Linked DNA regions of Arabidopsis thaliana. The protein of the gene in region 1 interacts with the protein of each later gene in a pairwise test. Each region holds a gene or a part of one and is shown in the gene's direction. Other genes may lie near its edges. The genes, in order: AT5G44040 and TOPP6.

The links.
Region 2: the proteins of AT5G44040 (region 1) and TOPP6 interact in a two-hybrid assay, tested with the Arabidopsis thaliana proteins (one large-scale study listed by BioGRID).

Annotation. Positions count from the first base shown.
Region 1 is NC_003076.8:17,718,915-17,723,362, reverse strand, and holds AT5G44040 (eisosome SEG2-like protein), read left to right. Parts: upstream 1-1,756; 5' UTR 1,757-2,014; coding exon 2,015-2,098; intron 2,099-2,205; coding exon 2,206-2,399; intron 2,400-2,494; coding exon 2,495-3,467; 3' UTR 3,468-3,704; downstream 3,705-4,448. Other genes in the region: AT5G44050 (MATE efflux family protein), read right to left, coding at 220-507, 595-879; CESA4 (cellulose synthase A4), read right to left, coding at 3,799-4,386.
Region 2 is NC_003076.8:17,419,010-17,423,952, reverse strand, and holds TOPP6 (type one serine/threonine protein phosphatase 6), read left to right. Parts: upstream 1-1,970; 5' UTR 1,971-2,126; coding exon 2,127-2,301; intron 2,302-2,383; coding exon 2,384-2,943; intron 2,944-3,021; coding exon 3,022-3,243; coding exon of another isoform or gene 3,244-3,270; exon of another isoform or gene 3,271-3,617; coding exon 3,618-3,656; 3' UTR 3,657-4,008; coding exon of another isoform or gene 4,009-4,023; 3' UTR 4,024-4,163; downstream 4,164-4,943. Other genes in the region: AT5G43390 (plant/protein), read left to right, coding at 1-1,013. UniProt on the Arabidopsis thaliana protein: Serine/threonine-protein phosphatase that possesses phosphatase activity toward para-nitrophenyl phosphate (pNPP) in vitro.

The DNA of each region.
Region 1 (4,448 bases):
AAATAACTAGCATCTAGAAAAAATCAATTAACTTTCTATAATAAGTTAATCTAACATCAATGAAGAAATGGTAGTTTTACTCATCAATTTCACACGGAAACTGATCAATATTTTTGCAAACACTGTCTACCCCAAAAATAGAGCCGTCTAGTTCACAAGATATTTGGACTAACCCCCACCGTTGTGACCAACTGACCTTTCAAATCATAAGTTACATACCGAATTTTTAAGCTGGCATTGGAGGAACCGGTTGATAGGGAAAAAGAAGGCAAATGAGAAATGTGTAGGAATGGCCCAAACAGAGATGATACCGGAGAGCTCTGCGATGTCGTCAGGCTGGCCCATGAACTTAAGAATCGGAGTCGCAAAGATGTACATTGGGAGGAGCAAGATGGAGAATAAGAAAAGAACAATCCAAGATCGCTGCAAATACACTCCAAACATGTCATACTTCTTTGCTCCAAACGCTTGACCGCACAGCGTTTCCAACGCAGTCGCCATTCCAATCTGCATATAAACATATATAGTTTCTTAACAAATTAAACCCAACATTATAATATAAGCTACATAAAAAGTATTGTTGCGTATATATACGAAGAGGCTATAGTTGAAGCCGATAATGACGTTGTTGACGATGGAGATGGCAGCGAGTTCTAGCTCGCCGAGGTGGCCAGCGAAAGCCTGAGTGATGACAAAGATCAAGTTGGTCGTGACTCTAGTGAATATAGCTGGTCCGACAATACGCCACAGCTTCTTCGTCTCTAGCCATATCTCTTTCTTTATTTCTCCGTTTTCCTCCTCTGCCACATTTTGATCCTTTAACAAAGGAATCTTCGCCTTCTCTAAAATACCTTCTGCTTCGTCGTCTCTCTCTCCCATCGCCGATCTTCAGTAAATTAACAATAAAAAAATAAATTGAGTAGATTAGAACAGCCAGAAAATTGATGATATAGGCTTTGAGTGGGACGACGCGGCACACCTGACACCTGTAAGATGTTTTTTTCCACGTTTGTTTTCAAACTAAAACAATAAATATATTAAAATTATACAATATGTGACAAATTCTTTTCTTTTGGACAGATATGTGACAGATTCTTGAAGCAGTATCACCACAAAAATGTGATGCTGATATGCTTTCTTTAGTTTAAAAAAAAATATTCATCTGAATCTAAAAATTCAGGATCCGGAAGCGGATCCATCCCAATTGGGTATCCAGCTTTTCAAATCGGATCTCGGATCCGAGTCCGATTATTTAGTCCCAACCCTAGAAAAAACTAAAGGAAAATATAAAAAAAAAAGAAACATGAAAACAAACTATATCTATAACCATTAATGTCATTTTAGGGTGCAAGCTTTAAAGGTTTTCATTCCCAACTGAAAATCTCTAAAGGGAGAGGAGTTTGGATTACATTTAAGTTAAACCAACCAATTAACCTCAGTAAATTTACTTATTAGAAACATCACACCAAGCTTTTCATGACCAGATTTTGTTTGTTGGACTTTTTAATTTAGTTGAATGTGACCGTTCACACCAAAAGGTCCAAAACTATATCAAGCTCGTCGAAGTTAGAGGATATAAAAACTTTAGTGGACCAATAATAATTGGGTTTAAAACGGCCCATTATCTCCAATTTAAATAATATACCTTCTCTTCTTTTTTTAATAAAAGCCATGGCCCACATAACAACGGTCCAATTTCACAGTCTAATAAATCAGACTTGTAACGGTCATCTACTTTTACTCCGCCAAAATTAATAAATTATAACCTGAAATTAGAAAGAGAAAAAAGGAAATCTAAAGAGACAAATAAAAAAGGAAATCTGAAGAGACAAATAAAAAAGGAAACCCTAAACCCCCAAATCCATGAGTACAACACTTCTTCTTCTTCTCTCTAAGTCCAGTTAAAAATCATCTCTTTGCAATGTTGACTCTTTAATCTTCGATTTATAAGCTCTCGAAGGAATCTATTACCTTCAATCTCTCTCGTTGTTAGCTCTTTGAATTGTAGAAGAGAATGGGTTGCTTACTTGGTTGCTTCGGTCGTCGGAAGAATCGTCGCCGTCAGAGACGCAGAGAATCTTTTCAGCCACGTTTAAACGTAAGTTCTTCTTCTTAGTGTTGATTTGCTGCAATTAAGCTAATTTCAGCTTCAATTTTTTGTTGGGTTTTGCTTTATCTGAAGTAATTTTGTTTCGTTTTATGTAGAGAATCTCTGAGGAAGCTGCAAAGGATGTTCTTTTGAATCTTAGGGTTCCTACTGTTGAAGAAGTCCCAAAGTATGCAAAAGATTCAACTGTTATGGAAGTCCCTAAAATCTCGGAGGTGTCTCCAAAGGATAATCATGTGAACGTTGTTGAGAAAGTCCCTACAGTTTCTGTAACTCCGATCACTGATATCTGGTAAGTGTTGTGGTTTTGTTCTTTCTACTTAGATTCATGTTTTGTGTTTTAGCTCAACAGATTTGACTTATTTGATTCTTTTCTTTAAACTGCAGTGACAAGGTTGAGGAGAAACAGAGTCCGAGTCCAAGTCCAAATCGTAAGAGAGTAACTTTTGACACCAATGTTAAAACATATGAACACATTGCAGTAGATGAATCTGTTGAGCTCTTTGAAGAGAAGAAAGAAGAGGTGAAGTCGAGGCAGGCTCGATGTTCGTCTGAAGGGAGCGATGTTACTTCTAACTCGTCAGGGTCTTATCCTTCTAACCATAGATATCAGAATTGCAGAGAGAGTGATGATGAAGAGGAGGATGTAACGGATTGTGACGATAGCGATCTTGAGGATACTGATGATGATGATTGTGGGCTGCTAGATGATGACTATTATAATGATGACAATTATGAGGACAAGCTGCACAACTGGGATAAAGTAGTTTATACGGAGGAGATTGCGGATAATGTTATGGATATAGAGAGGGTTGAAGAAAAGGGTAGTGTGAGTGTTAGAGACAGAAGTGGATATGTCAATGCAGTACTGAACCCGATTGAGAATCTTTCCCAATGGAAAGCTGTGAAAGCCAAAGGAAGAACAACAACTCAAACACAGCCTCGGAAGGAGAATGTGATAATTGCTTCCTTCAGCTTGGAGTCTCAGGTTGATGATTTATCATCAACATTCAGCTTGAACCGGAAATCAAGAGATGAAACTGAGAAACAGAGAACTCAAGAAATAGCTGTTGATGCTAGTCTTTCAACTTGGTTATCCACATCACAAACCACGACCAGCGGTTGTAGCAGTGTTGAAACCACAATGTCCGAGAAGAAGAAATACTCGAAACTGGTTCAATGCCATGATGAAAGACCTATATTGGGCGCGTTAACTGCAGAGGAGATAAAGCAGTTCTCAGCTACGAATTCGCCAAGGAAATCGCCAAGTAGAAGCCCTGAATCACCGATAATTGGAACAGTTGGTGGTTACTGGAACAGTCACTCAATGGCAACGAACAAGTACAGTCGAAGTTCTTAGAACTCCAATTCCACAACAGAGAAAGAATTCCACACATGTTTGGTTACTACATTGCCTTTGTGAAATTATTTTTATCACTCTGTTTGTTTGTGTGTGTGTGGTTGATAACAAAATCGTTGTGTTTTGTGTGTGATTTGATTTAGTAATATTCATTCTATTTGTTTGTATTTTACAGAAATTTGTCTACTTTATTTCACAAGTGAATCAAAGTTTTGTATTTTTTTTCCTCCTTACAAATCCATATAATCCAACAAAGAACACCCAAATCGGAAAAATAGGCCAAGCAAAATGGCTCAAAATAGCGGTCCAAAACGAAAATGCGGTTCCTCATTTAACAGTCGACGCCACATTGCTTCAGTAACGGACCAGTCTGTTTCGGCAAGAACGGATCAATCCGAACCCAAACCAAAGAGAAGATCGAAGCGAGAAGGATAGACCAAAGAACAACAATCGTCGGTGTTCGGTTTTGTCTACCCATCAAACCTTTGAGGAAAGGATAAAGATGAACAATGACCCAAAACGCGAAAAACAGTTTCCCAAAAAGCGGTCCCCAAGAACCATATCCATTGTTAATAGCGTCAGAAACTCCGGCAACAACACCGACCATGTTGAGAATAATGAGAGTTGTCGGAGGGATGAGAAGGGTTGTCCATTTAAAGAGGTAAAGATCTCCAAACTCATCGGCTTCGTCACTGGCTCCTTTTGACGTGACGGTGAAGTTAGTGTCAACACCAAAGAGAACTTTAAGAAGACCTTGAAAGACAGCGAAGAGATGAGCTGAGACACCGCCAATCACCCAGAATTGCTCGTTACGCCAGAGGTCATTGATGCTTACACCACTCCACCGGAGTTCTAAGATAGCCGTTGCAATGATTGATAGGAACAGAGCTAAGAACCATATGCTTGCGAAATTGTTGATCTGAATCAAAAGAGAGCAAAAGGGTGTTAATAAAGTATAATCATTTCTAATTGTCAAAAAAA
Region 2 (4,943 bases), 300 kb from region 1:
TTAGAGATAGGTTGAGAAAAGAAGTTCTTGTCCCGTTACATAAAGCTCTTGAGTTGCCAGAGGTGTCTATGAGTGCCAAGGAATGGAATCTGTTGAAGTACAATAGAGTTCCTTCTATAGCCATGCAGAATTATAGTTCACGCTTTGCGGAACACGATAGCGAGAGGTTCACCGAGTTTTTGGAGGATGTGAAATCCGGGAAGAAGAAGATGGCGGCTGGTGCGTTGCTTCCTCATCAGATTATCAGTCAGCTTTTGAATGATAGTGAAGGTGAAGAAGTAGCAGAGCTTCAATGGGCGAGAATGGTTGATGATCTTGCCAAGAAAGGGAAGTTGAAGAACTCATTGGCGATTTGTGATGTCTCGGGAAGCATGGCTGGTACACCTATGAATGTTTGTATTGCGTTAGGGTTATTGGTTTCGGAACTTAATGAAGAGCCGTGGAAAGGGAAAGTTATCACTTTTAGCGAAAACCCGCAGCTTCATGTTGTCACGGGTTCGAGTCTGAGAGAGAAGACTAAGTTTGTTAGAGAAATGGATTTTGGAATCAACACAGATTTCCAGAAGGTGTTTGATCGGATTCTAGAGGTTGCTGTCGAGAATAACTTAACCGATGAACAGATGATCAAGCGGTTGTTTGTGTTCAGTGACATGGAGTTTGATGATGCAAGAGTAGACAGCCATTCGGAAATGAGTGACTACGCGAGTAACTTGGAGAGTGACTACGAGAGTGTCCCGGAGAGTTTTGAGAAATGGGAGACGGATTATGAAGTTGTTCAGAGGAAGTATAAAGAGAAGGGTTTTCAGAATGTTCCTGAAATTGTATTTTGGAACTTAAGAGACTCGTCAGCTACACCCGTGGTGTCTAAGCAGAAAGGTGTAGCTATGGTTAGCGGGTTTTCGAAGAATCTACTGACTCTGTTTCTTGAGGAAGGTGGGATTGTGAATCCTGAAGATGTCATGTTGTTAGCCATTAAAGGTGAGGAGTATCAGAAGCTTGCTGTTTATGACTGAGAAGTTTTATTCATTTAAATATTGGATTTTGTGAGTACATGAATGAATCTTGTTTAAGTTTTTTTTTTTTTTCTAAGTACCTATGTCTAATAAGATACAGCTAAGAAAATGAAATGATCTATAGAAGTCATAAGATGAGGCATCACTCTTCGTTTCCTCCTAAACTTGGAATCTTTCCTTTATATCTTTTGGTTCTAATAGAAGAAAAAAGGCAAAAGCCAAACTAATATTCTCCGAGCTCTCTCTTTCCTTGTTATTCCTGAGGTGTCCTCTCACATCCGGTAGTTTCATAACGAATATGTTCTTTGTCATTGCCAAGTTGCTTAAGATGATGCGAACAAATCAACGAACAAGGTTTTGTGAATTACTCTGAATCCAAAAACATTGATACTGTGATGGAGAAAGAACGTTTTTTGTGCTCTACTTACACGCAAAAGTATCTTGAATTCGATTAGATTCAAGCCTAAAAAGCTCAACACAAAGAAAGTGTCTAAACTAGCTAATATGTTTTGACCATAAAAGAGAAAATATAGCTAACATTTTTGGTTATTAGATGTAGTTGAAGTTAGAACAATTAGGGTAGGTTTTTACCCATGGCTTTTGGCTACAAAGGAAGAAGAATATGTTTTTTGTAAATAGCCAAGTTGCTTAATATGACGCGGACGAATCCAAAAACATCGATACTAGAAGAAGAAGAAAGAGCGTTTTTCGCACTCAAAGTACCGGCGGAAAGATCTTAAATTTGAATCATGACGTACCGGACAGGATTCAATCCTGTGAAGCTTAACACACACACAAACAATGTGTTACTAAATTAGCTAGAATCTGATTATTATATGATTTAGTTGAAGTTAGAACAATGTAGGTAGGTATGAACACATGTGACTTTTGCTAAAAAGGTATGAAGAATATATTCTTAAACGCGGCTTTATAAAGCCCTTCTTGAATTTGACAATCACCATTCTTTTTCTCAAAGAGCAAGCATAAAAGAACATAAAAGCTCCATACTTTTTAAATTTATTCCATATTGTCAATAGCTTTTGTATATTATAAAGCTTCTAGGCGTTGTTGTTGTTTTGTCTCATTGTTGCTCTGTTTCTTGAGGTTTTATAAATGGATCCTGGTACTTTAAACTCGGTGATCAATAGGTTGCTTGAAGCTAGAGAAAAACCAGGAAAGATTGTTCAGTTGTCTGAAACAGAGATCAAACAGCTCTGTTTCGTCTCTAGAGATATCTTCTTGAGACAACCAAATCTCTTGGAACTTGAAGCTCCTGTTAAAATATGTGGTACGTTTCTCTCTGTTTCTCTCTGACTCTTTTCTGAGATTGTGCTCCTATGTAATCTTTTGGTTAAACAAATAATAAACAGGGGACATTCATGGACAATATCCGGATCTCTTGAGACTATTCGAACATGGCGGATACCCTCCTAATTCAAACTACTTGTTTCTTGGAGATTATGTCGATCGCGGCAAGCAAAGCCTCGAAACGATTTGTCTTTTACTTGCTTACAAGATTAAGTTCCCTGAAAACTTCTTCCTTCTCAGAGGAAACCATGAAAGTGCATCAATCAATCGTATTTACGGCTTCTATGACGAGTGTAAACGTAGATTCAGTGTCAAGATTTGGCGAATCTTCACTGATTGCTTCAACTGTCTCCCCGTCGCTGCACTCATCGATGAGCGGATTTTTTGTATGCATGGTGGGCTCTCCCCGGAGCTGCTAAGCTTGAGGCAGATTAGGGATATTCGTCGTCCAACGGATATTCCTGATCGTGGTTTACTCTGTGATCTCTTGTGGTCTGATCCTGATAAAGATGTTAGAGGTTGGGGGCCTAACGATCGCGGAGTTTCTTACACTTTTGGATCAGATATAGTTTCTGGATTTCTTAAAAGACTCGATCTTGACCTCATTTGTAGGGCTCACCAGGTTTGTTTATTGTTCCTTGTGCCCAAAGAAACATTTTTAACGTGTTTCCTTTTGACACAAGCAACGATTTTGTAACAGGTTGTTGAAGATGGATTCGAGTTCTTTGCGAATAAGCAGCTCGTAACGATATTCTCTGCGCCGAATTACTGTGGGGAATTTGACAATGCAGGTGCGATGATGAGTGTGTCTGAGGATTTGACCTGCTCTTTTCAGATCTTAAAATCTAATGACAAGAAATCAAAGTTCAGTTTCGGAAGCAGAGGTGGTGCTAAAACTAGCTTCCCTTATCCTAAAGTGAAGGTATGTATTAATCACATCACTTTTTAATTTGTGGATATACTGTAGCACAAAAAATGAAATATGGTAAATGCATAATAATTTGCTCTATTACTAAATGTTTTTGAATGATTTAACATTTTGAATCTGTTTGTGCTCCTCAATAATTTTAAATCTATTCGCATTGATAGATGAAACTTTGGATTAGTATTGACTTCACCGAATTAGACCTAATGTTAGTCAAAACTAACACTGTGGTATACTTGAAAATTGGTTTGCTATGTTTCTCACTAGTAACTTACAAGTAATTTATAGCCAAATCATTGTTGTCATGTCATGTTACAAGGCAAGCTCGGAATCTCTAACCATTTGATCTAATTAAACATGTTTATTTGCAGTCGATTCTGAGTTCGCAAAATTCGAAAGAATACAACTGATGAAGATTTAAAACTCCGCATAATAACTATTAGAAACCATGCCAACGTAACTCGACTACTATATGATGAGAAATTAAAGAGGATTTTGAATTTCGGAATTTTGGGAAGCTTCTGTTTTTGTTATGTTTTGTGTTGTCTGCTGCTATCACTTGTGTGTATGTGTTTTTATTTTTGGTTGTTGTTGTTGTAAATTTGGTTTGTAGTTGTTGGTGGTTAAATTTGATAATAAAACATGATTTCCTTCGGACCAAAGATATGTTTTTTTCTTTCCGGTTTGCATCTTCTTAAGTTGAAGGCACTTTTTGGCTAGCTAACTCTTGTGTCGATTGTGTGGCCAACAAGGCTTCTGCAGGATTGTAATTGGTAGAATGGATCCGGATATCCTAGAATTTGAAAAGTATTCAGAACTGTGCTTTAACAATCCAGATCCGTGACTTTTGGATATCTGGTTTCTAATATTGCAGATACCTAGAAAACTAATACTTATATATCTTGTTTTAATACATAATCATAATTGAATCAATTTAACTTGACATATCATTATAATATTGCTAGTGTTAACAAAATATTAAAATGATGACTTACCCATGTTGTACCACCGAGTTAATGATATTTAAATTTATATTAATGAAGATTCAAACTCGTCAAACCATATAACCCATACCGTGATATTTTAAACTTTTTATAAGTTAAACGTTGATAATATTTTGAAGTTTTTATACACTTTAAATAGATCAATTATAATATTTTAATTTTTTAAAAAGTTTAGAATTTATGATATCTGGTATAATTAAACGGTTTGACTAAAGAACCGAATTAAACTGAACAAATATTTAAATTTGGATGTTTGTTAAGTTAGGATTCCTACTCACTCATATTTCTTTGGGTTCAATTTGGTCTTATTTATGAGATTTTGGACACAAAGTTTTAGCTGATGTGAGACTTTGAACACAAATAATTTTATTTCATTATGTGAGTAATATATGGCTGTTTTCAAACATCCGAATCACAATATATCCAGAAAAAATTAGATTTTAATTAGTGTTATGTATTATATGATGATTCAAAGTAGTTTAAAAAATAAAAAAAATGATAGAAAAATCATAATTTTAAATGTTAACAAAATATTTAAAATATGTATATTATTAAATGTGAAACATTATATGGATGTTTTTAATTTATCTTTAATGTGAAAATATTATAATTGTGTTTTGGTTATATGAATACTAGAGAATTAATTGTAACACTATAGACCCATCGCTTTCCAACCCCCTCTTGCATAAGGGA